Linked DNA regions of Struthio camelus. The protein of the gene in region 2 interacts with the protein of the main gene of each other region in a pairwise test. Links are inferred from orthologs where the notes say so. Each region holds a gene or a part of one and is shown on either strand. Other genes may lie near its edges. The genes, in order: PPP2R5A and DZIP1.

What was found.
Region 1: the proteins of DZIP1 (region 2) and PPP2R5A interact in binary tests that used the Homo sapiens proteins (3 or more experiments, as listed by UniProt). The link is inferred for Struthio camelus from reciprocal best matches to the Homo sapiens genes DZIP1 and PPP2R5A.

What each region holds. Positions count from the first base shown.
Region 1 is NC_090944.1:114,065,552-114,080,684, reverse strand, and holds the start of PPP2R5A (serine/threonine-protein phosphatase 2A 56 kDa regulatory subunit alpha isoform), read right to left. Parts: upstream 6,718-15,133; 5' UTR 5,811-6,717; coding exon 5,660-5,810; intron 1-5,659. UniProt on the Homo sapiens protein: The B regulatory subunit might modulate substrate selectivity and catalytic activity, and might also direct the localization of the catalytic enzyme to a particular subcellular compartment.
Region 2 is NC_090942.1:166,185,307-166,200,280, forward strand, and holds the start of DZIP1 (cilium assembly protein DZIP1), read left to right. Parts: upstream 1-8,298; 5' UTR 8,299-8,548; intron 8,549-8,995; exon of another isoform or gene 8,996-10,070; intron 10,071-13,957; 5' UTR 13,958-14,045; coding exon 14,046-14,048; intron 14,049-14,132; coding exon 14,133-14,630; intron 14,631-14,974. UniProt on the Homo sapiens protein: Molecular adapter that recruits protein complexes required for cilium assembly and function to the cilium basal body.

The DNA.
Region 1 (15,133 bases), on a different chromosome or scaffold from region 2:
AGGTGTCACACAACAGACATTACTTAACAGCCATTTGTTTAGTTAAGCTGTGATTCCAACCTTCAAACTCCACACGTTGTTACGAAACTACATACACACACACACACACATATATATATAAAATTACATAACTTTAGTCTGCTAGATTAAAACAAGTGTTAGGATTACGTTGGCAGAGAAGCTGAATTTTATGCCCTTCCCAATGGAAATGATGGGGTATTTGTCTTTCCAAACAAAGAAAACACACATCCCTTCTATACTTAGATAACTCTTGCTTGCAACAGTACAGAACTGTTGGTGCAGCACCTTTTCAAAAGCGCAGAAAGATTTTAAGATAGACAGATATTAAAAAGAATGTTGTAGATCGATGTAACGTTATTTTGATCAGATAGCCTGGAGCAGTAAGTAATCACATTCATATTTCTTACAGCAACTAACATTAAATTCAGCACCTGCAAAACTAATATCTGACCAAACTAGAAAGCTACGAATATGGAAAAAAAGAAATCTGATACTAAGCTGGCACACAGAAGATGTGAAAGATTTAAATAGAAAAGTTCATGTGAAGACTGTCAATAGATTCTATATTTAGGAATTGCTCTTGATGGAAGTATATTCTAAGACCAAAAATTCAAGTCTAAGGATAAGAAAGGTCAATTCTTTAAGAATTAAAGACCAAATGTTCCACTCCATAAACTGAGAACAGTTCCTTAATACAGAAAAAATTAAACGGTTCATTTTCCATAGAATTATATTATAATGATTAAAAAATTCTTAAATCTTCTCTAGCTATTACAACTTCTCTATTTTTCAAAACTGTAACCTCACTAGACAGAGATTTTGACTATATTAACTGTGTACTCTGTTGAGATTATACATAACAATTAAACCACAATTATTTACAGAATGCACTCATTCTTCATCTGAGAAAAAAAAATTGTCTTTTAAAGAAAAATATTACCTAGGAAGATTATAGCTGCAAGTGATATTGAATACAAAAGGTAGAGGATAAGGAACTACAAGAAATCAATGGAAACTTCAGAGACATAGATCTGTCACTTCACTTACAAATATTTATGAAGGCTTTAGTAAAAGTAAACCATTCTAAAATTTTTGAAGGATGTTTTCCTTTTGTGAGCAAAGGCAAGTTAATGTTAGTATGAGAATAAAATCCCCTAAGCTCTTTTAAACTCCATTTATTTTTATTACTCTGAAATATACAGTGTATGACTCAAAACATCAGAAGTTTAAGGCTTGAACTATCTCTGATGAATTTAAGTAATGTTTAAATTTAAACCTTTAGTCAAGTTTATTGGGCCTTCCTGTAATGCTTCCACAAAAGCCTAGCCTGAACACTGCACCTAGTTTCCAGTTAAGTCCAAGCTCTCTCTCTCTCTCTCAATGGCTGAGGAGAGATAACAGCATTGTTAACATTCACTGTGGCCCCCTTATTTGGATGTCCAAACTGCCTACTAGGAAGTTGCCTTATAAGCATCTTATTCCAGTATCCTTCACCATTCCCACCATAATCCTCCATCCCATGGAGATTCTTATAACTCTTCCTAGCCTATGGGATTTTCGGACCAATTTCCAGTTCTTCAGCTGTAAGGGCCTGAGTGTTCTCCATAGGAAGACAGTTCAATTCGGAAGTGAACAGCAAGAATTTCTTTCATTAGTTTTGCTCTCTGTGTATGGACATAAGTCTGGGGTGACCCATCTCATCCCAAAAGGATTTTCAGTCCTGAGAAGATCACAAAGAAATGTCAGGAAATGCTTTATTCCTTCCAGTGATGCTTGACATGTTTGGTACAGAGGAAAAAGGTATATTTGCTTCACAAACAAACAGACCATATTAATTGTACTAAATAAAAACCAATAAGCTGCATGGTTGAATCAAGGATTTTTCTTTCTTCACTTCTATTCACCATTTTCCACCTATATTTCTTACACACTTTTTCAACTCCTTTATTAAAAAAAACACACACAAAACCAGGGAAACATGTATGTATACTTTTATCATAATGAGTTCATATCTGATTTCCAGACCAAGCTGCTTTCAAAAAATGAAGCTAACTGTGTATGTTACCACAGTCATTTAAAATGATTTACTAAATTATTAAGACACAGTTACCAATTCTTAAGATGTTGAAATAATACTTCCTTTGCCAGATTTCTTTAAATCCAACAGTGTCAGGATTGTCCACTAAATAACAAAATCCTGCTGTTAACTAGTACATTTTTTTGGCTGTATGTATTCAAAGGATTTGTAAGCTATAAAGTTAAAAAAAAAAAAAAAAAAAAATCAAACCCCCAAAACTCCAAACCACACAACCTGCTACAGCTTTAGTAAGTTTTGGGGTTTTTTTTTTTTTTTTGTAATAGTCACTGGGTCCTCAGTATTTCTTATTTAGCTTTTAAATAATACAGTAAAATGGACACTGTCCTGAATAACAAACACATAGGAAACCTGTTAACTTAACTGAAGAACACATTACTAATTTACCTAGCCTGACATCAGCTAGGCTTTGCTGAGCTTTTATCCAGAACTGACACACAATACTACACCACACACAAAAATAAGTTGAATCTTAGTGAGTCACACAATTCTGCCCCTCCAAATCTCTGAAGTTACAATACTATTTGGGACAGTGATTACTAGTCACAGATAAGTGTTTTCTCCTAGTGGTGGCATATCATGCAGCTAAATTGGGGAATTTCGGTAATATGCAACAGCAATACACCAAAAATAACATACTTTTAACAATATTATCTATCTACAGGCTTTCAAACAACACTACTTAAAACTTGGGCAAGTATGTTACACAATCTGATTTGGCCATTTTAGTGACAAATAAACAACATTCTCTAGATAAAAGAAAAAATAAACGATCCACCCAGTAAGGTATTTGTTAGAAGTAAATGATTAGTTCTTCTTTCATAAGATCTCTCCTTCCAGTACAACAATGTGCAAGTATTTTGGGCCAATCTGACAAACCTGCCTGGCAGTTTTAGAATACTTTATTTTCTCTGAAACAACGAAACAAGACAGTAACTATAGAAAAAATGAAATATTTTACAGCAGTATAATGTTTTTCACCTACAAAACTTCTCCCAATAAAGGCTTCAAACATCTGCATTTCACCATTTATCCGAAAAAGCAGAGAGTGTTAATCTAAAGTCAGAAATGCATGCTGAATATCCTTAGGCATTCATATAATGACTATACTTTCCTTTTTCAGCCGCTCCCTGCGAATGCTGGCTGTTACTCTATAGATGACACTATACTAGCAGCATCACAGCTATTCTTTGAAGTAAATGTAGAGTTCAGTAATAAAGTAAAGCTTCATTTTCCCAAGACACATGTGAACAGAACAAATACTTTATTTCTAGAAGCGCTCTTGTTTTGGGGGGGGGGGGTGAGCGGGGATGTTTAAGAGGAAAAAAAGGAGAGGAAGTGTCATGAAGAACGGGAGAAAAACATCATACACTACAATCATCTTATAGCATCAAAAGATCATATGTAGCCATGTTCAGGACAATTCAAATTCCCAGTATATCCAAACATCACAAATCCAAGAGAGAAAATATGCAGAAGTGTGCTGCCTGACTTTCTGATAACTGGCTGATTGGGACAGTCACCAGTGGGTTTTTCATTTTGCTAACTCATAAAAACAATTCTATATTTTGCTCAAAATTTATATTCTGAGGCAGATTTGGAGTATGAGTCTTAAATTTAAACCATAAGCACAAAGCCAGATGTTATTTTCCATTAAGAATTTAAGGCAATTCAGACTACTATAAAACTATGAATAACTGAAAACATTCCTCTGATTGTTCATGGCCTCAAATTTCCAAACGTCTGAGCTGCTGATGCCATGCAGAATTTCCTATACTACAAGAACACAGCTTTAAAAATACACTCACAAAACTCTAAGACTTAACTGTACAGAGTGAAACATTTTTAACATTAAGTTCCAACTCAGCAAAGAATGTAAAGTTGGACATTTTACTGATTTAAGCTGGGTCATTTCTTGCATAAAGTATGCATGCTTAACTGCTTGCAGAATCAGGACCAAAACTCCCTGAATTCTGCCACCTATTCATGATATTTACCAAGTGCTTCTACAGGGTCTTAGTAGCAAGCAGTGTTATAAAAATCATATTTGAGAGCAATATACACTGTCTAAACAGTGTATGCATGAGAGTCATTATTAAAGATATGCAGAAACGTAGCCATACCAAGAGCAGAAACTGAATTCTGATCTCAAACAAATTACTCTGGTTAAGAATTAAAATAATTATTCTAGTTTTCTCAAATTACACTAGCTTACCAAGATAGGATAGAACTTGACAGAGAAAAGAAAATCCTAACCAAGCAGTAAGAACACCCACAGTTACTGCAACAGATATGGGAGAGGAAAAAAACAAAAACAAAACAAAAAACCCACAACTCCCTTGTTACCTTCCTGCCCTAGCTTATTTGCTTCTAATAACATTTCTGCTAACAGTTTCATGATTTACACTGTCTACTGTGTACATCTACCACTCGAGTAAAAAAGCCTTGAAATATTATAAACATGACTATAAAAGCCGTAAGAAGAAAACAAGCAGCAAAAAAAAAAGTTATTTGATACCTAAAACTATTTTTAAGCTGGCTAAATTGCATTTAAATTCTGTATTTTTGATGCAAATTGAGATTGCTGTCCATCATCACATGATACAGCTTCAAAAATCCTAAGATCAACAGTAGCATCAAGAAATTTAGTATTTTGGGTAACGTTAAGGTAACACCTCCACCGTCTTTCTCAGGTCCTTGTCAAACACTTTATTTTAATAACAAACTTATATTCTCTACCTAATAACTATTTCTGTAATTTTTAAAACAACAAGAAATATATACAACTTGAATTTGATGTTTAAAGGTGTGACAGGCTACAACTAACTTCATTTTTGTACTCTTCTAACAAACATAGACTATTCAGATTTTAGCTTCAGGACACAGGATAAGCGTCCACTATTTTCTTTGAGTTTTAGTGAGGCCAGCATCTAAAAACCTTAATTCACTGCGTGTGACTGATCCTGTACCACACTAAGCAGGAGAGAGGCTTTGGGGCAATTCCTGATAGTTAGAATAAGACAAGTAAAGAGTCATTCAAGAACTGTCTAGAGGTGATGGGAAAGCACAAACAAGTCAAAGGCAAACCCTCTCTGATAACTCAAGATATTATGCCACAGGCACCGAGTTCCTCTTTGCAAAACCCCCCCCGTGGGAGGAGCCACCACTTGCTCCACGGTTTTAATCCTCAATTCTCTCTACTCCTACACTCAAATTTATCAGCTTAAGGGAGAGTTTACAGTTGCGCACAAGCCGTCAGGAAGCCTACCTGCCCTCCCAACGCTTACTCCTAAAAGAGCCAGGAAGGGGGCTGCCAGGTAGCGCAGTTAAGCCCCGCGGCGGTGAGAAGCGACCCGCACGCTCCGTTACCCGCGGAGAAGCGCGGCCCGAGGCAGAAAGCCCGTCCGCGCCGAGCACGACGGCCGCAAGGGCCGGCGGCAGGGCGCAGCCGGGGCCGGAGGACGAGCCGCGGCAGGCGGCGGTGGGGCAGGCGAGGGGCCCCGGGGCACCTGTTAGCCGGAGGGGGGAGAGGGGCAGCGGTACCTTTGAGCTGGGGCAGGGGCGAGAGCTCCACCTGGCTGCTCTGGCTGCGGAACTGCGAGGAGCCCTGCGAGCGCTTCTGCCTCTGAGCCTTGCGCACCGATTTCCGTGTGAAGCCATCCACTTTCTCCGCGGCAGAGATGGCCGCCGACATGGCTGGGCGGTGAGGCGGCGCGGCGGGACGTCGCTCTCCACAAGCATATATTAAAGCGGAGGGAGAAAGCGGGCGGGCAAAAAAGGGGCTTAAAAGAAAGAAAAAAAAAAAAGAGGGGGGAGAAAAAAAAAAAAAAGGCTCCCTGCCCTCAAGCCGGCCCGCGCACACACACCAAGGCGAAAGGCGGTGCAGAGGGCTGGTGTCCCAGCGGCAAGCAGGCTTCCGCGCCGCCTCGGGCAGCGGCCGTCCCGGCGCTGGCCCCTCGCTGCCGGGCGCTGAGGAGCCTCCTGGATGCGGGCCGCTGCCTCGCTCCCCAGTTCCTGCTTCCCTCCCAATTTCCTCTCCGCGCGGAGCCGGCTCCGGGGGAGGCGGCGGGCGGGGAGGGGAGAAGAGGGAAGGGAAAAACAAAAAAAGCAAACAAACAAACCCAGCAACAACTTTGCCCGGCGGGGCGGGCACACGCCAAACTTTCCCGTGAGCGGGGCGGGGGGGTGGCGTGCCGGGCTCCCGCTCTCCTCAGGGCAGGCGCAACAAGAGCCGCGGCGGGCCGGGCTCGGCGGCGCCGCTGCTGCCCGCCTCCCGCCTCACTCGCTCCGGGCCCCCCTCAGCCGGGCTCGCCTGCGCCAGCCCGCGCCGAGCCCGCTGTCATCGGCCGCGCTCGCCGCTGGGCCGAGCCCACCGGGGAGGCAGTTTCCACCCCCCCCTCCTCCTCCTCCTCCTCCCCAAATCGCTCGCTTCCACACGCCCTCTCTCCGCCTTCAACCGCCGCCGGCAGCTCCCCGCGCCTCCGCCGTCATCCTGTCCCCTCCCGCTCCGCCAGGAGTGTCTCCGCCCGCCGCGGCCGCGCCGCCCGAGCCCCGGAGCCGCCGAGCCAGCGGTCGCGCAACTTGGCGGCGCGAGTGGAGTTGAGGCGGGGAGGAAGGCGGTGGGGGGGGGGAGGGGAGAGGGGCGGGGCAGCGGTTACCCGCCAGGGGGCAAGAAAGGCACGGAGGAGCGGCCGTTGCGCCGGCGTTCGATGACTGGCAGCGCCGAGCAGCCAATGCGAAAAGGGCACCATGGAACCCCCCCCCCACACACACACACACACTACCCCCCCTCGCGGGCCGGGGGTGGGAAGAACGCGAGAGCTGGGACGAGTTCCCGGGGAAGGAGTGATTGACAAGAGGCTTCTCCAACCGGATGAGGCCGAAAGGGGGGTGGGCGGGTTTTTAATCTTTGACGCAGGGGAGAGGTGGAGGTGGGGGGGTGGGGCGGTTCCCGGCCAATCCGCGCCAGGGGGCGGTCCCAAGGCCGGCGTTCGCGCCGGGGAGGGAGGCGGTTGGGCGCGCGAGGCTCCCGCCCCGCCCCGCCCCGCCCCGCCCGCCGCAGTAGCCGTTACCGCGGCGCCCCGCGTGCGGGCGGCGAAACCCTTTCCCCGGGTTGGGGCCGCCTCAGTGCTGCCGCTCGGCTTCGCCGTCGCGGGGTCAGGAGGCGCCGCCGTGACCAGGTTCCCCGGGCCGGAGCCCTCCTGGGCGCCTCTCCGGCGCGGCCCGGCGCCATGGCGTTGCGCCGGGCTCCTCGCCGCCTCCCGGCCTCTGAGCCCGGCGGTGGCGGGGGTCGAGGGCTCCCGGCCTCGGCGCCCCCCGGGTGGCACGGGCCGGCCGGCCGGCAGGGCTGGGGCTGGCCAGAAATTACTGGTGCTGCTGGGAAAACGGCAGTTATGCTCGAGCCTTTCAGCGGGCCGTTAGCAGCCACGTGTGGTAACTGGAGACGCTCCCCACTGAGAAAACTGCTAAAAGCGTGCTTAACCACGGCCGCTGTGTGCTTGGAGTGACGCTACAACTAAATGAGTTTTGTGTGGGGGACGTTGTCCTTAGCTATCTTCCGAGTGCTTCTATTTTTTTTTTTTTTTTGCTTGTCCTGACACCACGCATTTTTCTCTCCCATGTGTTTGACTTTTATGAATCTGGGTTACCATGGCGTTTACTGAGTCACAATGCCGTTTTGGAGGCTGCTGCAGCACACACGGTTGTCTGAAGCAAGCACGTGCTTAACTTTCAAAGTGTGAATGTTTATTCTTTTTTTTGTTGGTGGCTTAGAATAAGAATACCAAATCTTGTAGGCCCATGGGTGGCAAGAGATGTTGCTTTTACACCATGGGTATGAATGAAATGGAAGAATGGGGGGCGGGAATAGGAGAAATTCTATCTTTCTGCACAAAAAAATGGAATAGCAGCATTTTGGGGGATGGAATTTGGGTCTAGTGTCTCAATTACAAATATGTCGCAAAAAGTAAAAATTCCGTACAATTTATATAATTCCAGTTGAATTTCAGCCATGGAAAACAAGATTTGTAACTGTTACACCAAATGAAAAGCATGATGCTTGAGGATGCAGTATATGACTACATGAAAATATGACTTTTACCCGGTCCCATTTCCATATCCAAACAGCCCTACTTTTGAACCATAAACATATGGGATGCCTTAGCTTGTCGTTCAGGTAGAGATGACAGACTAGTTTCGTGCATATCAACACATTTCTTCTTAATGCAGAGTTTTAGGTACCAATTCAGCAAATAAATATTTGTGGTATTTTAAATATGTGCTCAGATCTGAATGTCTTTGGTAGGTTGTAAATACTGTGAAGTAACTGTATATGTTTCCTAAATACTTTCATGAGGTGGGAGTTTAAACTTCAGATGTATGATCAGTAAATCAAAAATCAAGTGTAGGTTATGGCTTTGTGTGAACATAGAAAACTAAGACTGTATAAGCCTGTTCTATAGGAACTATTTCATTTTATCAGTCTTTCCTTTTTTCTTTCTTATGGCAACACCATCTCTACTTACTTTTTAATGCATGATTACTTGTGTACCTTCATCTTTTTTGCTTTTAATTAATCTTTAGTATTCAGAAAATGTGGAGAGTAGTCTAAGAATTTTTTTTCTAAGTATTCCAGACTATCCAATATATCTATAAGTTATTTTTCCCTAAGCATAAGTTGCAGTGTGCTGTTATCTTTCTTGTAGGTAGGTAGACTTTTTATTTCATTTGTATTTTTATAAATATATTTTACAAAATCCATTTTACAAACAAAATGGGTACCTTTAGGCACTTTAAACTGCAAGCTCGTGTATTTGTTGTAATAAAGGAAATTCTTGCACTCCTTACCTGGTTAATTCACCTCTCACTTCAAAGACCATAGTTCCTGTTCAGAGCCCACTAAGGCCCAGTCCCTGTGTCAGTGTATTCCTGCCTGCCCTCCAACAGCTGTCATTTTCTGCTACACCCATTTTTAGAAAGTGACACTGTCTAGTGTGTCCGATACAGTCTTTAGTGGCAACTCAACTCTTGCTGCCTCTTCTCAGTGTAAAGGAATCTATCTTAAAGTTCCATCCATTCAATATTTTGAAAGCTGTCAGGGAAAAGCATTATATAAATGCTAAGTAACATAAGAGCATTTTCTGAGCTTTAAAATACTTTCTTCAAGGTTACTAGGCTTTGGAATGGCTGCCATGCTGATAAGACAATGTTGTAAAAATCCATTGGCAGTTGAAATTCCTGATGCAGAAACCTAAGTAAATAATAGCTGTAATCTTGCAAAGATGGAATTTTCATATTGATTGCGCCTGAAAATATTTTCAGACCTTATCTTTTTATATCACTCACACAAGAAATATCAGTGAAATCTGAGTCAGCCAACAAAAAGAAACAATTTTATTCTCTCAAATCTATTTTTAGCTATCGAATTTTCCTTTGTCTTTTTATTATAACTCTTCTGTTTTGAAAAAGAATCAGCAGCAGCTCCGTGGACCGGCTCTAATTTCACAAACTGAATTTGTAATATTTGAATTAGTGAACGAGGTCAGTGGAATTACATGAATGAATAAAGTCAGTTGAGCATACAGGTCTATGGGATTGGGATGTTAGGAGAAAAAAGGAAACAGAGCTCCGACTGGCAATTTGAAGCAGCTACATTTGAGAAAGCCAGAGATTGCCCTTCCCTGCTTGCTGCACACACGGCTTCCTACACAGCTGTGAGCTGCTTGTGAGTCAGCTTCTGAACCTCATGGTTTTTAGAGTGTATTTAAAGGCACGTGGTCACGATGCCAGGCTATAAGCTGCTGGCTCCAAATCTAATTCATAAAAGTCTGAGATATCCACAGAGAATGTTGTGAACGGTAATTTTATGGCAAGCTATTCCAACTCTTAAATCAGAGCCTTCAATATACACTGAAGCATGGATCCTGCAAAACTTTGTGCATGTGTCTAACTTTACTTGGAAGAAAAGTCAAAGGTTTAGGAAGTAATGATCATTATCATTCTAAATGGAGGAGCAAAATTCTAGAAGAGATTTCACTAAACGTCACGTTTGCAATACTTTTCGTTAAATCATAGAGACTTATTTCCTGTATATTCTTAGCATCTTCTCAGCATCTTCCCTGCAGGAGTGAGACCTTCAAAAATATGAATGGGAACTTGATGTGTCATTAACTTTTAGAGTTCTAACAAACTTGGCTTGGAAGCGTGGGGCTTCATGGATCAGGTTGCTACAGAGGACAGGGAATTGTCTGGTGGCCAGGAGATAAGGAGTTAACTAGTTCTGCTTTCCCATTCTTCTGTCAGGTCAAGCTGCAAGAAATCTAGTTCTCCGAGACAGTAGGAGGAATATAATAGTAAAGAGGATGCCATAAGTGGGTGAACCCTCAGCCAGGAAGGTTTGTGGGGAAAGAGGTTATGAAAACCTTTTGATATCCTTCTCAAAATGAAGAATTTAAAGGAAAATCCCTGTGCGTCACAACACTGCTTGTATTTACTACTGCACCATTCCATCGGTTTTTCTAGGTATTTTTTTCAGCTAACTTAAAATACTTTCTGTGCTAAGGCTCTACTCTTTCAAGCATGCCTGGGATTAAGTTTAAGCACTTGAACTGTGCCTGCCACTAAAACCAAGTTAGTTATTCACATATTTCAGGTTAAAGTGTGTAAATGTCTGCATGTCTGCACTGGATAGTCACTATCTAGCAGAAGTGTTCCTAAATCTTTTGCTTGATAAATCCTTAAATAATGTAGAATCACTTATCTCAGAGACCATCTGTTATCTTCCTCCTAGAGCAGGATTTAAAATCGTGGGATTGGAAGTCAGAGATTAGTTGGCAGGACCTTCTCTTGTGAGGGCTCTGAGTTAGACTTCCTTCAGCATACCTATGAATACATTCTTGCAGCCTTTCCAGGCAAAGCTATGCGCTTGTGTATGCGCAGGCAGTGGATTGTGAAAACTAGATGTGATTCTTCTTCTTATTTTTAAAACTTTTTAATTCAATCTTCTGTTAGCTAATCCAACATGGTTGTGTTGCAAATAAAAAATTTAAGAAGTTTGTACACGTATGCGCACATACACACATCCACTGATTATCATAACTGATAATCCAGTGAAAATGTATCCTAATTTAACTTCTTCTATTTGTGTATTGAACTGTCTTTTTTGGTGGAAACAGTGATGTCTGAGACCTCAACAGGAGTCTATCTGGATCGGTAAGATGCAAAGCGTCCCTTTAGGGCGTACATTTACAACCAAGCTTTCAAAGTTGGTTAGCATCTTTGTCAGAATGATATTCCCTTAGCAAAAATCTATAGAACATGAACATATATAGATAGATAGATAGATATTTATTAGTCTGTTCCTTGTGCTGAAGATTTATTTGCATTTTCTATATAAAATGGGAAAGATTTGCAGCAGGAAGAGTAGATTCACTGCTATTTTTAAAGGTAACAAATGGCACCTCTATTTGCTGAAATGAAAAAAAAAAAAAAACCACACAAAATCCCACTTTCTAAATGCTTCTCTGTGGCAAACCAGACCTTCAAAAATGCCAACTAGCACTGTCCTCAGCTTTACAATCTCTTACAAAGATTGTTCAACACATTTAGAAAATAAAAAGGAACTATTTCTGTTATGAAATGTTTGCATTTAAAAAGGGAACACCTGGAAGCTAGAGTTTTTTCAGAAATAATTCTTAATGCTCAGTGAAAGGAATTAAACAAACAAGCAGCAAGGTTTATTCTGTCAAGTTCTCAGCAGGCTGACAAGAATTACTGCATGCTAAGAATCAGCTGCTCTTGGAAACTTTATGAATGTGGCAGCCAGAAAAGTACAAAACATGGCCAAGAGACATAAAGCAGATATATAGCCTGTAACAAAGAGAAATGAAGAGAATGGCTAAATCTCCGTAAATCTAAGGCGGAAAGAGTTTGCTGTACCAGCGTTTCAGAACGCTTCGACAGTGTAGAACACTTCCTATAAGGAATTAGTTTTGCATCTCAAATTGTAATTCTGTTCCCATGCCAGAAATAGTAATTGCCTACTTGGAAAATAATAGCAGAAAATTATTTTTATATTTTCATCTGTCTCTACTGTGATTTAGCAACTGGAAACAAAGAGCCAAGTCTTGTGTGCAGCCAGTTCTTTGCGGTCCATGAGCAAGTGGCCTGACAACCATTGTTTGCAAACCTCTGCTTTGTATCCATGCTCAGTTCCCCACTACAGCTTCTCGGACATTTTTTAGAAACTTTTTTGCAAAAGCAGAATGAGTGCTACCAGTCAGGAGGAGTCCTAAATGCCGAATAATTATTATCATTCCTTCCCCTCCCCAGCTAATGAATGAAACCAAGTCATACATACTTGTGGATTCTTTTGATTTGTCGTGTAGGTTAAGAAGCTTTGGTGTGCCTTTGTTTCATGTTTTCAGGCTTTTCTCAAATGTGAGAGCTGCAAAAGAGACTTAAAAGAGAGAGCTATGATTCTCATGTAATAACGTGATTCCCAGATCTGGGTCTTTGAAAAAAAATGCTGTGGAACTTGAGATGAAGTCAGAAGTGTAGGTAAACACAAAAAAGACATTCAAGCAAGCCTGTGAGGGATCTTGGTAATGTTTATAATAATTTAGTCATTTGTTCTTTTATCTGTAGCAGCCATAAAAAATTATTTTGGCCAGCAGATGAAATGAAGTTACTCAGTCTTATTAAGATTTCAGAAGTACATGCATTCATGTTAGGACTTGCCTACCTGGGGGAAATTTACTGCTTTTACTATAGCAATAGAGCTATAAGTCATTGAATTATAGCAACACAGTAATGCCAGTGAATCCTGCTTATGTAGATGTGCCCTTAGTCAGGGCGGTGAAGGAAGCCATGCTTGTTTCTGCCACAGGGCAATCTGGCATTATAGCCGAAGCTGTCTCTCGCAGGTCGCCGTCTAGGGCAAAGTCGCAGCGTTTCGACCCCGCAGCTGACAGAGGCAGCACCTTAGGTGACCTGGCGCACTCTCCTCCCAGCGGATCTGCCACCGCAGCCGCTAAGCACAGACCGTGCAGCGAGCTCGCTTAATCCTACCCACTGAACACATGAGCTGCAGTTTGCGTTTCAGTCTGTAAATTGTTCTTTTGTTTTGCAGGCTTTACTGAACACAGTTTTATTTCATGTGACTGTGCTATTTATGGAGGAGTAAATATTGCCGGGGGTCTATTTGAAAAGGCCAATGACCTGGATTTTTTTCCATTTGAATTATCTCCAAGAGTCAGACGTGTTTAACAACTGATTTTTTCCCTTGTTGCTGTAGACTGCAATCGTTCCTAACATCTTAGATCAACATCGACTAAAAAGATGAAGATTTTTGAGAAAAATAAAACTTAATGTAGTGAGAGAGTAATTAGATGGTATACAACGTTTCCATTTCTGGAAGTGATGAATTCCGTCCAGAACTACCAGTTATCAACATAGTATGTTTTTATCCCTAAATGTTGGCCTTTTATAGTTTGACACTGCTGTGGTAATTTCAGTTCATAGCTCCAGTTTGCTCCTTTAATTTTTATTCTGTTTTACAAAGCCTAGTATCTAGTATGTTTCCACATATTATAATTAAATAAACAAAGCATGTTTTCGGAACAGGAAGATTTAAACAGAGTAAATATTCTTCCTGCTGTCCTTGCAATCTAAATAGCAGTATTGCTTTACAATTTAAGAATCAGAAAGTAAAACATTGCAGGAAAAATATTGCTATATTTTCACTTTCAAGAAAGAGTTTCGTGAAAGCAAACAGGTGGCCCGATGTGAAGAATATTAAACATGTTTGGGTATTCTTAAAAGATAAGCCAATCATATTGGTATAATGCGTACCGTTTTTTTAGCAGAATAAAATAAGTTGATCAAAATTCCATGAAGTATAATGGGCTCCAACCTGAAATTTTGCTGCACACATACTACTCTTTACCTAGCCATGGAAAAGCATGAAAAAGATGTAATTTGTATACCGAACATCATTCAGTATATGCTCTAAAGTTTGTAGGTTTTGCCATGCAGTTACAAGGTACCCTGTCTTCAGTACAGCACCAGATTCAGAAGTTACAACCCTCTTCTCCCTTGGAGAGGTGGAAGTAAGCGGACAGATATGGGTTTTTCTCAAGCAAGCCTTACTGTCAAAACCACCACGGTATGCAATTGCATTTCTTCAAAATCTGTTATTTACTGGGGAATTGGACAACACTTGGATGATTTAATGCCTTTATGAAGTAAATGAAGAGTACATCTTTAATATTCTCCTGGCCTGGACCACGCTACGTCACAAAGAAGCCTTATTGTTCAAGTTCCCTGCACACAGTCCCACCATTCCTTCTCCGTCCTTCAGGAAGAGCCCAAGAGGCAGTGGCAGAACTTGTCGTTACGTTGATTTCTTAGCGCAGACGTTAAGTTCAAGGCATTTGCAAAAATGTTCCACATTACTAATAAAACTAATAGAAACTTGCATTTGCATTTCTTCAACCAGAACAAAACTGAATTCTTGCACATTTTCTAGGGCAGAGATTTTTGTTCCTCACAAAGGAGAAAGCTTTTTGAAGGTTTTCCACTCAATCCCAGCACTTATTACTTCAACCTTCTCATTTTTTGTGTCCCTTTTCAAACATCTGAGTTTACCAGTAGGTTATTTCACACTCTAAAAAGATTGTAGTCTGCTTTGAGTCAAAATTGCTGCTGCACTGACATTTAACTGCCGTCAGTGACACCTACAGCCTGCATTAAGACTATTTGAACAAGTGCTGTTTCGTTCTCAGTTAAGTAACATGTGTTTTCAGTTCTCGTTTGTATTGCTAAACATGAATTTTCAGATTCTAACTCAAATCATCTTTCAAAATTAAATTAGCTAAAGCCTTAATTAGCCAGCAACGGATCAGAACAGACTGCAGTGACTACACATGCTACTCCATTCTATCTCTTAGAAAGCTGCCAGCTTGTAAGGAAGGAAAAATTTCAGAGGCTCTTTCTCTCTTAGTAGACCTTAGCAGAATG
Region 2 (14,974 bases):
GAAGTCATCATACAGATGCCTGACCAGTAATTCCTGAAAGAGACCATGAACCATGACAGAACATTCTTGATGATCATAACGCCTAAAAGTGTAATTTAGAGATTAACTATAAGCCTGGGAGAAGAAAGTACGTTAACACATCTTCCCTTGTGCAATTTCAGAAGCAAACGAGATGCAGAAGACGAGAAAGACTTAAAAGAACAAATGATATGACGTGCCAACGTCATTTTTTAGAAGTAATCTGAGAAATAGCAAGCCGACACAGCTGTAATACAGTAAGTCTTTCAAAAGGATCAATAAAAATTTGGCAGACTGGGACCAGAAACAAGTTTCTTCAGCAGCCTTGAGTTTTGGAGTGGAAGCTGGGTTGATTGCAAAGACTACGCTAATGTTCAAAGTGGTCAAAGGAGGGAAAGCCAAGGAATTTTCTCCAACACGGTTACTGCTGGTAATACAGTAACAGCAGAGGGCATCAGTTAGCAAGGAATGACTTTTTAAGACACTCGTTGCTTCTAACAGGGATGGTGACCTGAATATGGTGACAGATGTGGATTTAGTTAAATCTGTAGGTTCTGTTTATTAACTGGGAAACCTACTCAAATGTAACTGTGGTGTGGTGAGAAATCCAGATTAGGTGTGAAAACACACAGGTACTGGGAAGGACCCCGCTAATTACCTGTGAGCTAGCATTCTTGGCAACACATCTTAGTTACTAATCTCTGTTCCAAAAAAAACCCCATCCATATCAATCAGTTTCCTGACACAGGAGAATAAGCAATATATCGGACTGTTATGTTACTTCCACAGTCCTGTATGAAAATACGGGAGGCGGTGAGACAGGACGATAACACAGAGTTACTATCCTCGGGGCTTCTTCTTGTGAGGGATCTCTCAGGCCTTACACCTTGTTTTTATCCATTCCCCTGTATGTGCATTGCTATCAGAAACGCAGCTGTGTTATTAAATTGGAGTGATGACCGAGCTAAATGGGATAGTAATGTACATCTCTGCTAGCAGGCATAGCATAGGGTTATTGTTTACATGGCCACATCTTTTGGAAGTTCCAAGATTTCCCATTTTGGGTGGCATTTGTAAGAGATGACTTTAGGGAAATTCCTTGTCCTGGGCTCTTTTTGCAATACATGGAAACAGAAAGGCTCCTACAGAATGCAGTTCAGCCCAAGAACTTAAGTACTGTAAATGTGCTCTTGGAGAAGCTTATGGACTTTAAAGAGTGTGAGGAATTAGTCTTCTTTAGGGTAAGGTTACCCTCTGTTAATGCTTTCCCCTTCATACTGTCCCAACAAAATTATACAAGTATATCTTAGTCCTAACTGTGATGGGAGAACCACTTTTCCAGTGTGGATTTAACCATCTGCGCTATGACCTTGAGTTTTGACACTACAAAAAGAGACTAACTGCTGTCTGTTGTTTATATCGCTATAAATAGGCTCTACCTAGGTCTTTTGCTCTCATTTCGGTTAAGCTTGCTATAATACAGGTCCTTCAGTCACTAAACTATATTACTATAGCTGATTATCAACAGGGCTATGTGTTGTGAGATATGTAGGACAGAAGTTGGAAGATGGGAATTAGACACCAATGTTTCATTTTCACAATTAAATTTATTTTAAATTTATTTTAATCAGTGAGATGTATACAATATCTGCAACTTTTCTTACCAGCCATGGCAGCAACAGCAAACTCCAGAAAATTCCAGAAACAACTCAAATTCAAACCTAATTCAAATTTGAAACAATTCAAGATGAAGTGAAACAGTATTTTTCAAGCATTTTGATTTAAAAGCCACGTCTGTTGATTTTGGGAGGGTGAAGGGGCTTGACAGAAAGCAAAATATTACATTTATTACAAAATCTCACCTCTTTTAAAATACGTATTTTCATTTTTGAAGATGTAGAGCATTTTAAAATGATACTCTGAAATCAGAAGTCAAAACTTTGCTTCAAACAGTAAAATATTTTGGTATTTCTGAAGTAAAGCATTCTATTTTGAAAATATATGAAATAGTTTAACATTCATGAACTCTTATTTTCGACTGAAACCCATTTATGAAATTCAGCCTATTTTCATAACTAGTTTTGAAACTGTTTGAAACTCTGCAACTGTTTTTTGGTTTGCCTAGTGTATTAAAAATAACTTTCCCAGCTGAAGTCCCAAAGCTGAAGTTTCAAATCTACATGATGACTCCAAGCTACTTAAGTGTTTCTCTTAATCGAACACGTCTCTTCAATTTTAAAAAAGGTGAAAAATATCAGTGACAAAGCACTACGTTATCAGTTAAGGCGTCCATTCCTACCTTATGTCCTGCCAAAACACCAAGGTCTGCAAAGTTCACGCTTCTGGGGATTTGGACTGCACGGTTAAAGTGTGTACGTGTGCAGCCTTACCTCTGCCTGCTCCAACGCACACCTCAGCGCTGCCAGCCTATGCCTGCTATCTTTGTATGCAGTGGCAGCTGCCTGCATCCCATGTAGAGTTATTCAACTCGTTCCCCGAGCGAATTTTTATATAAGCCATAGGCATGTGATGCCTTCTAACACTGTCCTGTATTTACCCATCTCTGAATTAACAGACTTCATTTATCCTCCGACTGCTAACAATCCAAAAGATGACAAAATTCGTGCGTTGCGCTGCTGACACAGCAACGATGGAAGGGTGAAAGGAGGCACCCGGGCTCTCTCAAAAGCACATACCCACAGGTCCAGCAGAGGAGATCGTCCACATACATTGCCCCTCCTAATAATCACACGTTTGCTCCAGCTAATCCTTTTTACCATTCAATATAGCAATCTATAGGTAAGTGTAACATAATGAATATAAATATAAATAAGAGCTTGAATGCTTACTGCAGAGTAGATAGTATGTCTAGTATTTCAGAGTTTTGCCGAGTCCAGGATTTTGAAAAGTTCTAACGGGCACTTTGGGCACGTCCTTAGATTTCTGAGTATCTAAATTGACAAAATTTGAAAAAAGAAAGGGGAAAGAGAGTAATATGTCCCCATGTATCCTTTTCAGCTGAGCGTCTAAGGCTGACAGGGGGTGGTTCTTTTTGCTTTTTCATACAGTTTGTTTCTCACCTATAAAAATGGTGAAGTGTCCCAGTCAGTGTAAAACTGTAACCTAGCTGGCTAGAAAAAGAGCAACAATCTAATGCATACCGTTAAAAATTCATCCAGAGGTTGCTAAGTGTTATAAACTAGGTCCCTGATTTATTTTTAGTGTTTATTGACCTGTTTATTGCTCCAATCATATCAACAATTTCTAAATACAAGTTAAGTTAAATACCATATAAGTCAGATGATGGGCAACAGTGGAAATCTGAGCTTGGCTGAGTAGAGGTCACTGAGTGAAACCTATGCACTGAAGCAGCGATATCCAACCTATCTTGAGGTGCAGACAGCCTGAAAGCAGTCCAAACGTGATTCTTGCTTTTGAGTTGTGTCCCAAGATCAGTGGCAGGGCTCGAGCATAGGCTGACTGATTAGCTATGGGAGGCAGTGAGCCAGACTGAAGTTGTACTTGATGCGCTTGATGTATCCCCAGAGGCTCCCAGCCAAATTCCCCTGCATATAAGAATGGCAGGGCCTGAGGGGAATCACAGTCTTTCTGCCGCCGGTCCCTGCCTGCAGCTTGCCCCCTCCTCGGCTCACGGAGGTAGGTATGGCCCTCAGACGCCCTTGGCCATAGGCATATTTTGACAGGACAAGAAAGGGGTTTGAAAGGTCAAAAAAGTACTCCTGGGCTAAAACTGTGGTGCACTTTCTGTTGTAAATACCTGTAATTCTCTTATTCTTCAGATACTGAAAAAGAAGTTAATGGGAAAGCAAAAAATCATCAGATATGAGACAGTGATTTCAGGCTACATCCACACAAACAAGAACAGAAAAAGCTTCATAATCCTGTTCTCAGCACGATTTTTGCGTTCACTGCAAATAAAAGAGGAAGCTATTACAGTAATACCTATGTGTAGATTAAATAAAACTCACAATCCATGTGTTTGCAGACATTTCTGAAGAGTTAAGTTTAATTCCCTCCATGTCTAGGAGAAAAGAAGATAAATGAATTGTATTGTTGATGCAGTGAAATCAGCTAGACTTGTTAGCTGAAGACAAACCCTTAGAAGAGACTGTTTTAGCTGAAGAAAAGAAGAAGATTTAGTTGGAGAAAGGTCTAAAGTACTCAAATTTGAAAATGAAATTTGTTAAACTTGTAGGGGTCACGGTCTCTTCAATCTATGATTAATCATAGCAGGTATTGTGTGTTGGAACTAAGAAGGAGGCGCAGGAATCTTTTTGCCGGAGGAGACTTGGGAGAGGTGCTCATCCTACCTTTCTTTGCAAACGCTTTATTATTCTCTGATAAAAATATGTATTTTAATAATTTTCTCCTGTAAAATAAGTGATGGAAAGATTGAAAGAATGAAATGACTGCAGGCATTAAAATGGAAAAATGTGCAGGAGAGGGAGCTGACAGGAAGGGAAAGACTAAATAAACTTAGAATCTGGCTAGATTCATTATTATACCTGTGGCATGTTAAGTCAACTTTTCACCAGAGTTAATGATTACTGGCGTGCGTCACTCTAAGATTAGTGCAAGAGAAAGATTACTGAAGGATCTATTTTTCAGTTCCCGAGAAAACTTTCTCACTGTCCTCTCAAATTAAAACATCTTGCAAAAAATGTGTTGCATACCCCTCCATTCTACAAAATGTGCAGATAATTCTTTCAGTTAATGCATTACAGATGCAAAAAATGCCTTCTGTCTGGCCCCTGGGGGTACCCCCAGCCCTGCCTGCCCACCCAGCCCCAGCCCCATCTCAGCCCAGCCCAGGACCGTCAGTCCCTGCCCCTGCCCAGCCATGGGCCCCCCGACACCCACCACAGCCTCGGCCCTGTCTCATCCCTGCGGCGGTGCCTGACGTTGCCCCGGGGCTGGGGCTGCTCCGGCTACCCCCGGTGCCCTGCTCCTTCGGGATGGGGGGACAGGCCCTAGCAGCCCCCACCAACACCTTCCCCTGGTACCCAAGACACTTCCCAAATGGACATTGCCCAGATATCATCATATTTTCCCCCCACAATCAGAATATTCTCCTTGCTTTGTGCTCTCCAGTTGCAGATACCCTCTGTAAGCCTCAGAAATACCCTGCTCCAATCGCAGAATCCTACGTTTACTGCTTGTACTTCAAGTCACTTATCCCATTTTGAGTCTGTAATTCTTAGCTTTCCTCACCAATTTCCCCAGCGAGAAACTTTCTACTTCCTGCAAACCTCATCTCTTCCCTTCTCCTTTTTACTGAACTGTTAAGAAAAAAACATACTCAGCATTGCACTGTGTCAACAGAGTATGGAAAATTCACCTAGGACAACAGATAATACAGAATGATTTCACAAAACCATAATGCAGATGAACTACCCCTAGAGAGCTCTGTTAACTACCCAGTCTATGTTGTTTGAAGAATTTGGATCACAAACTGGGAATGATTTTTACACAAACTATTCCCTGTAGTAGGCTGGCATGTGGGAAATAACACCCTGGTGAGCAACAGAGAGACATACTGGCTAGAATAGGAAAAACATGTAGAATAGCCAGGGTTTTCACACTTCATGAAAGAAGCTGGGAATAAAGCAATTAAAGGGGAAGAAGAAAAAGCTTAGGTTTAGGACTGTACAAAGTCTTAAAGCGCCTCAGCCTAAAGTTGAACTTCCCCAAATCCCCATTCAGCTATCATCTATTACTATAAAAGAAGGTTAGAAGCTACCTAGAGAAGCTAACATTTCACTATTTCCTAAACACCTGACATTCTGTGGCTGAAAATGCCCAAGTCTTCAAGAAATGAGCTGCTTCAAGTCTTTTTCAGTGCTTCATGGTGTGCACAGAGGCTACATCAACCGTCCGGTTGGGTATCAACTGAAACCTGTATTTCCAACCTTCTTAGCAGATGCAGATGTATTCCTGATCCCTGTCAGAGGCAGGGAGAGAAGAGGAGGAAGGAGGGGAAGTGGAGAGAGACAGCACAGCAGTGACTGCACCATGTAATGTGGGAATTTAGAACAGTTTGCCCCAGAAAAATTTTAGCAGGAATAAAGGGTTATGTGCATCATGCAGTGTATGTGCAATGAAAGGAAGAAACCTCAATCTTACCACGTAAGTACTGCACAGATGGCCAAAACATGCAGACTGAACGCACAGTAGGTCTGACACGTTCTGGACGTGCTGGATTTATGGTGATTGTACCCCACTATCTGCTTCTGCCTGAACAATAATCATCTGTCTGCTCTGACCTGATTGCAGGCTGCCCTAAACTTCCAGGTAATGTCCAAATGCACTGCCTCAAATCATGTGGATGGGGAAAGGCAGAAGGATGCTAAAACGCTCTTGGTCCTCTCCTAGTATATTCACGCCTGTTTTAGGAGAACACCTTCAACACCAAGCTATATGATATAAGGTGAGGAAGGAGGAACCAGGCACAAGCCTGGGGGTAAAGAACACTTATCTTGCCAGCTGAGGCTGTACCACTTGCAGCAAATAATTAAAGATTGATTGGACTTTGGCAAGAAGTAAAAGAATGAATGAGGCTTCATCTAGTAGGGTGACGCCTTATCCCCACAGAAGACAAGACTTGGTTCTAGCTGTTCTTTCAAGGGCTGCTTGTGTATTTTATATTAAACCGGTATTAGAGTAAGTGACTAAGATCCAAGTTTTCCTGTGCACTTCATACACACCTCCCGTCATCAAATGGCAAGAATCTTGAAAGTTTGTTCACGCAGCCAGCATTTATTGTTATATATAAAACAGCTTTGGCAAGAGAGCCTTGATATCCCCATCTTTCCTCTGCCAATGCCTGCTTTAGCAGTGAGTGTAACCCAAAGGGACCGATCTGTAGCAACAGTGAACTGCATTCCTGACTTCCACATTTTACAGGTATTCAGGTTTTACTTCAAGCTAGCTCTACGCTGATCCTATGGATTGAATGTCCATTAGTGGCTGGAGCTCACTGAGGTAGCCTCAGGACATTAAAAACTAAGGCATTCAAATCGCTACTTATTGTTAAAATCCTGTGTATGCAGCATGCGTGCTCACATCAACGCTATCTCGTAACAGAATTTCATGTTTCAGGAAGGAAGGACAGTGTCTTGGCTAGCCTCTGGGCATGCATACTAAGAACCAAAATTTTTCCAGAGCTTGCTGCCTATGTATTTTGTAAGAGAAAGTGTTGTCTCCCTGAACAAAAGGATCTTCTGAATGAAGATTAAATGTAGCCCAAAAAACATATGCAACAGTTATTTCCTCCACTGAATTTGCAACGGTACTTTATATTAAAATATAAAATACTTGAACTTGTCCTCCTTGCTACAAAGGCTGAAAAAGAATTAAATCTTGTTAATAGCCTTTATTTTGACAGGCACAATTTAAAATCTTACAGGGAAGAGGAAGAAAATTAGAAGGTTCTGAGGTAACCTGAAAGTAAATGTAGCTGTTACATAGATTCTACCTGTACGCTACAAAGTGTATTTGAATCCAGTTTCTCCATCAGAGCACGGTTCAGATATCACCAGGATACCACTGCCTGTGCTGTAAGAGGATGCTCTCACGGGAAGTCGGTGTCCTCTTACTTTGGGACACTTCAGGAAGACACTTAGGAAAGAACCCCCTCATCCATAAAAATTGAAATTACATTCCTTATAATCATCTTAAGTCTTCTGAGGTCTTCTCTCTAGACCCATGGACAGGAGTAATCCTGTCTCCGTGCATTACTTACATGGAACAGGTTACTGTGATTCCCCGTTGTGACGGGGGTGTCTTCTCCAACCGTGGCAAAGACTACCGTCCTCACAGAAGACTACACTGCATGACAAGCTTAAATGTATTAATGCTAGTGAAGAGATGATTAAAAAATGCCATTAATTACAAAAGACAACCTTCCAAAAGCTTCGGTAAAGTTGTTACGTATTTAAAAAAAAAAAAAAGCAGCTCCTAGCCAGAGAAATTTAGACGCCATGCCTGGGCTAGGATCAAGACAAAGAAAACCCAGGCTATGAGAAAACATCTGCCGAGCACTGTGGAGAGCTGAGGCGCCGGGCCCGCCTCCCGCGCTCCCCAGCGGCAGCGCGGGGCCGGGAGGGAGGGCGGCCGGGGGCTCGACCGGCGCCGCCGCTGCGCCTCGCCCTGCCGCCTCCCCCTAGAGGCGCGGGCCGGTATTATCGGCGGCGGCCGCCCCGCCTCGGCAAGCTGCTCCTGCCCCGACTCATCCTCGGCAGCCCGCGGGAAGCGGGCGGCGCGGGGGGGATGGGGAAGCGGGCGGCGGGGAGGAGGGGATGGAGGAGGCAGCGCGGAGCAGGGGGAGCTGTCTCCCCTCTGTGACACGCACCAGTAACCGGCCGGGTCGGGGGCGGGGAGCAGCCGCAGCCTTCGACACCCCTCAAGCGCCCGGCGACGGCGGCGCGGCGCAGCGCGGCGGGTCTGCGCCGCTGCCCTGCCCCCCCCCCACCCCCGCTCGCCCCCAACGGTCGCCGAGCAGCAGCGCGAGGTGAGTGGCGGGGCGGTGCGCGCGGGCCGGGCTCCTGTTGCGCCGGCCGCGGTTCTGCCCCCTCCCCCCCCCCCCCCACCAACCGCCGTCAACGGGGCCGCACGTGCCGGCCGCGCTGGAGCGCGCGAAGGGACTGTTGCTCTCTCCCCCCCCCCCCCCACCCCGCCGCGCGGGGATGCCGTTGGGGCGCGCGCCCCGCCGCGGGGGGAGGGGAGGGCTCGGCGGGGCCTCTCCTCAGGAGAAGGCGGGAGGGAGGGAAGGAGGCCGCTCTCTGAAGCGGAGGCGGAGGTTGTTTTTTGGCTGGGAGATGGAGGCCGAGGCAGGGCCTCCCGCAGGCCCGGCGCTGCCTGCGTCTGCCTGGGCTCGGCCGCCTCCCGCACCCCCCCCCCCGCTCGCCCTCCCTCCCGCCTGGCGGGATCTTCTCGCCCTGGCCCTGGCGAGACAGGCGAGCTAAAACGCCGCTTTTCCCCTGTTCCTCAGGGCGGCCGTGTTTGGGAGCGGGTAGGCGAGTATGCCTGCTGGCTGTGGGCCTCCGCTGCGCAAAAACACCGAATTAGGGCGCTCCTGCACCTCAGAAAGAGCGCGCTGAAGTCAGGTTTCAAAAACCGCTGTTGTGGGTGAGAGCCGAACTTCTGCATCAACATAGCTGGCTATGTTCCAAGTATGGAGCACATCTCAGCAGGCGTTACACCTCTAAACTAAAAAATTGATTCTTTGGGACTGGCGTTTTTGATCACTTTGTCTTCAGGGAATTCGGCTTAAAAAAAAAAGTGTTTTTTTCCCTATCGTTTTGATCCACCCCAGTATCCTTCCACTGCTGCCTCCCCTCTCTGCCTGAGTGATGTAAGGAAGCACCGTGGACAGATGCCGTAACAGCTTTTCTGTTTTCCTCCTCTGTCTTTAGTGATGCACCATTTCAACCTTACAATCAGTTGAAACAGATTTAATTAAAACAGTATGAAACTCTGCAAGGATATTCCCAACTAAATATGTCAGTTGAGGAAATTAAGCATGTTTATAAGTCCGGTTTAACTTTGCTGGTTTTAAGCAGCATTTTTTTAAAAACTTGTGCCTTTGTGAATTAAAATATTTCAGGCATTCTTTTTCAGTCGCCTTTTGCCTGATAAAGTGAAGAAAAATCCGTAATGTACAAAATTCACATTTTTCTGTGTATAGAAATTTCTGCTATGTATGTTAAAGGGCATGTGAAAGGCTCAGAGATCTTTGGGAGATTGATTTCATTGTGTATTACTTAATAGTTCCTTGACGAGGAAAAACATCCTAATTCACATTTTCCATGATGTTTGAAGGAATTCTAGGCATGAACATTTTGGACAGTTGCTATTTTTATTAAGCATTTGAGCATTTTTTTAAAATCTAACCAGTTTATAAATGCAAGTGTATATACACTGTGGATGAAATAGAGTCTACAGTATGCTTCCTTTCAGGAGAAGACTGCAGCGTTACAATGCAGTATTACAAATGCAGCACAGTGTGTCTGAGTTCAGATGAAAGATGAAAAGTGAGTGTATTTGCATATGCACAGGATGTCTGTGCACATAAATTCTATTTGTGCTGGATAATGGTGAGTTGAAAATCAGATCACAGAATTTCCTCATTTCTAGTTGTTTTGCGTCTTTCCTGGGATTGATACTGCATTTTGTTAAAATTTTGTTTATATAGCCGATCTGCAGGTATTTTTCTGAATTAAAAGAAGTCATGGCAAGTGATGGAAGATACTGGGGTATCTTCCTGGGGTATTACGTGAACTTTAGGTATTGCAGTAAAGTGTGGCTAGTAGACTTAAGGCTAAAGGTTCAAAAACATGCGTTATAGTGCCAAGTATTCTGGAAGATTGCCTTCTAGGGTGGCTCAAGTCAACCAACAGGAGGGCTCAGTATCCTTTGCTAATGTCACCAAACTAACTGTTCAAACTTCTAGTATCCTGAAGTTCATTTGGTAGATTAATGAAACTCCCTGCTGTGCCTAGGTACATTCTTCGAAAGACTGATCTTAAACTTTTGTACAGAAGTGGGGAAAATAGAAGGGTGTAACTCTTTATGTATGTGGACAAAGCAAGAGATACATTCTCCTGATTTTCCCTGGCTACGGAAAGAAAGGAATTTCCTTCAGCTTTCCCCGTGTGCATGGCTAGAAGTGAGTCTGCAGAATGAGAAGGGCTGGTAATATTTAGGTCCTTAAGTTGCTGAAGTGAGTCTAACCATTCCTGAGACGGATTTGGGTCTTTCTGATGTGAGATGTGGTAAGAGTTTTGATAGATATCTGAGGCTTAAAGGAAAAGACTCTGAGTCTCCATGACAGTCTATGCTGTGAAGCAGAGGTGTGCTGTACAGTGCCTGCAGCCGTGGTTGTAGGGTGCGTGTACTGGTCGCGCTGACTGCAAGGAAGACACCCCTGCTGCAGGCGTCCAGCCCAAGGCCCCAGTCCTCCCCCTCAGGGACCCATCTTCTTGAAGTCTGCTGTGTGCCTGGGTTTCCTTTATGAGGAAGGAGAAAGTGATGTTTTCTCGTTCACTGGCGTGGTGTCAGAACACAGCTAAAGTGCGTATGGAGACCAGAGCTTTATGGTGAGTACCACAGTGGGTACTGGTGGGTACCTTTGCCCCAAGGGTTGCCCCGACCATAGGGTGAATGTGGATACTGAACCTGTCTCTGCCGAGGTGAGGGGGATTAAATGAGCCCAAGTTTTTAGGGAGCTATGATATATTTTATTACATCAGCCCTTACAAATAAGAAAAACAAGCTTCTGGGCACAGCAAATAATCATAGTGAACTTGCAGAGCTACATAAAGCTAAGAGCTTTTCATTTGTGAGGGAAGCTCTCCTTACACTAGTGCGTATAACAACATTGGTGTTGTTTGCGTGGAAGAAGGTATGTATTGTGTGCTCACTGTGGTATATTACGGTTTGTATTGGAAGGACAACGTAAAATATGCAGAGGCGAGGTGAGGTTCATTGGGAGTTGTATGTGGAGTGTTTCTAGGAGATGACTGAAGGTGAGGAATCTTATACTGAGGGGGACCTGAGGGATGTGGAGAAACTGGAGTGGGCAGGAGGAGGGCTAACAAGATGGTTAGGGGTCTACAGCACGTGACCTTCAAAGAGAGGTTGAGGGAGCTCAGCTTGTTCAGTTTGGTGAAGAGGAGGCAAAGGGGCACTCTTTAATAGTAGCCTACAACTACCTGAGGATAGTTAGAAGCGTGTCAGAGCCAAATTTCTCTTGGTAGTAACAGAGAGTATAACAAGGGACAATGGCCACAAATTGCTACTAGATGGGATATTAGGAAAAATGTTTTCATCAGGAGGATGGTGCAGCCATCCAGCAGGTTGCCCAGAGAGGTCACGCACCATCCATTCTTAGGGGTTTTCAAGACTCAGCTGTACAAAAGCCACAGGTGACATGATCTAGTGTCAATGACAGTCCTGCTTCGAGCAGAAAATTGGACTAGATGGTCACTAGAGGCCCCTTACAACCAGCATTTCTATGAATATGTGATATAGTATATAGAGGAACCTGTGGAATGAGGTGTGTTATGAAGTATGTGTTGTGTGAATTCTCCTGGAGAAGTGTGCATATAGGAATGACTGGAGGGATGAAAAACTGAATTGTGTAGGGAAGGGGCTGAGAGGTGTAGGTGTAAACATGGAACATGGGTGATATGGCAGAGGTAGCATAGGGACCTGAAATACTAAGAAGTGGTATCAGGAAAAGAAGGTTTTGGAGAAGAGTATTAAGGATGAGTGAGGGAATAGGATAATGTTGTATGGTGGAGGGGAAGGATATTCGTGCCTCGGGACAATATTTGAAGCAACTGAAGGGGTACAAGGGAATGGGAATACCAAGCTGGAAAGTCCTGGAAATTGTGGTGAGTCAGGGAGATAGGCACCAATTGTTGGATGCCTTTGAAGGAAATGGAGCAGTGAAACTGGTGTCTATAGCATGAGGTGCTTTATGGGGATGAAGTGTTTGGGGATGTTGGAAATGAAGTAGGAATGACAGACAGGCAGATGTGATGAGAGAGCAGGGTTATGCAGTTATCGGAGACAGGCTAGTGCCTGGTAATACCTGGTAGAGGTGTGTTGGTGTGAGGAGAGCATGGGGAAGCATCATACCGAAGGTATATGAATGTGTTAGGATAAGAAGGTATGGGAAAGAAATGACGGAAGTACCAAATAGTGGTACTGATTGTGGGGAGGTGACAGAGGTATGTGGTAACTGATCTGGGATATGAATAGCTGAGGCTGGAGAAGGATATAAGATAGCATGTGGGTAGCAGAGTGTAATGTGGCAGAGTGAGACAGGTTTATGAGTCACAGGTGACAAGGAGGAGTGACAGAATAGCAGGTGGGGAGATGTATTGATGCAGTTAACTTAATTAGATCTATATAGTATCATGTATAGACTTTATTGATGAAATGAGATAAAGGGAATGTGGAGAAGTAAAGTATATGGTGTGTAGCCAGGGTAAGAGTCCGTACACAGCAGAGTATAGCTGAAGATGTATTTTTTGACGAGTAATGTGTGGAGACGCTAACAGATGTATTGGCACAGGTGTACGGAGTTAAGGCAGTAGGAGTACTGGAATGCGAGACAGGTTAGTTGGTACGATGATGCCTAGGGAATATGGAGAAACTGGGGGAAGGAGATACCAGGATAAGGAAATACGAAGGATTTGTATCCAAGGTGGGTGGGCGTATGCAGCACTGAGTACACATGCACGCAGGGAGGTCTGGAACCGGGGGCAAAGGGGCGACATCTCCGAAGCGCACAACAATGGCGAGCTCTTTGCACACTCCAGAATATTGCAGCTGCAGCAGTTGGGGGTGCAGTGGGGCCAGCAAGCATTGCCGAGCTGATCCTTTGGGGCCACGTTTTTTAGAGAGGAGAAACAAAGGTTGCATTGGCACGGTGGGGAGGAACATGTCTAATTCTGCCAAGGAAGGGGCTGTACTGAAGCCCTGAGGGTAGGGTGCATTTGAAGGGAGATGTTTAGGGAAGGGTGCGGCAGCAGGTGTGCTGGGTGAGAGGCCTGGCGAGTGGACTGAGGTGTTTGGGTGCAAAGCGGGGAGGCAGTGGGGATGTCTAAGCAGTAGGAGGTGGACAGATGCCTGGCAGGAAGGATGAAGTAGGGAGGAGCAGTGAGGAGGATGTGCAAAGCCCCTGAGCGGGGCATGCGTGAGTGCACGCAGGGTGAGCGGTGCCTGAGCTGAGCAGCTGCGGCGGTGCTGAGCCAGAGGGGCAGGGGAGGTGTGCGATGAGGACGAGTGTGGTGGGGGGAGCAGAGAGGGCCAGAGGGGGCCCCCTAAGGGAGGCTGGGGTGCCCGGGGGACAGCCAGGGCAGGAAGCAGGTGGGCGCTGCCAGGGTCCTCACTGCTGCTGTTCCTGCAGGGGTGACCGGGCCGCAGCTGCCATAGTAACACGGAGGACGCCGGCGCTCAGCGGTGCCTGAAGGAGCCCCAGCAAGCCGCAAGCAGACATGGTAAGCACCAGGGTGGCGAGCGGTGGGCGGCTGGCGGGCCCGGTGCAGCCGGCCCCCAGCTGAGCAGTGGTGTCTCTCCCGCAGCCCTTCACGGAGCGTGCCTACTACCCGGCAGCGGCAGCAGCGGGGGGAGCAGGGCCGGCGCCGTTTCCTGCCTTCCAGTTCCGCGGGCGCCATGAGAGTCCGGACTGGCGGCGGCTGAGCGCTGTGGACGTGGGCCGGGTGTCGCGCGAGGGCGATGTGGCTGCCCTGCAGGAGCACCTGGGCCACGTCACCTTCTGCAGCGCCGAGCAGGAGCGCTGCCCCCACTGCCAGGGCCCTGCTGACCCACTACTGCTCAAGCTGCTGCGCCTGGCCCAGCTCTGCACCGAGTACCTGCTACACTCGCAGGAGTACCTCAGTGCCCAGCTCAGCAGCCTGGAGGAGGCCCTACAGGCAGCACAGGCACAGCGCGACCAGCTGGGCCAAGAGTTGGCCCGTGGCTCCCAGGAGATCAAGGGGCTCAAGGAGGAGTGCCGTCGGAGGAAGAAGATGATCAGCACCCAGCAAATGATGCTGGAGGCCCGAGCCAGCTACCACCAGGTGAGAAGAGAGGTCCTGGCAGCCTGGTCACGTGCATGCCTTGGCCTTGCCAGCTCTGTGCCTGCTGAGGATGAGCGGCAGAGCAGCCCCTCTCTTCAGGGGCGTGGTTGCCTGCTGGGCAAGAGGTTTGTGCTGCAGAGACGGGACATCCCGAAAAGGGGGTGTGTCACTTGTAGGTGCTTTGCTTCACTTCTGTGTTTCACAAGCCTTTGGCTGCTGTGTCAAACTTTTGAGAGAATGCTACATCTGATTTTACAAATCCTCTGTTTACTAACAGCTGTTCTATAGATGCGCATCTGTTTAGATGCGTCTAAAGTGTCCAATATGTGCACGTACATACACAA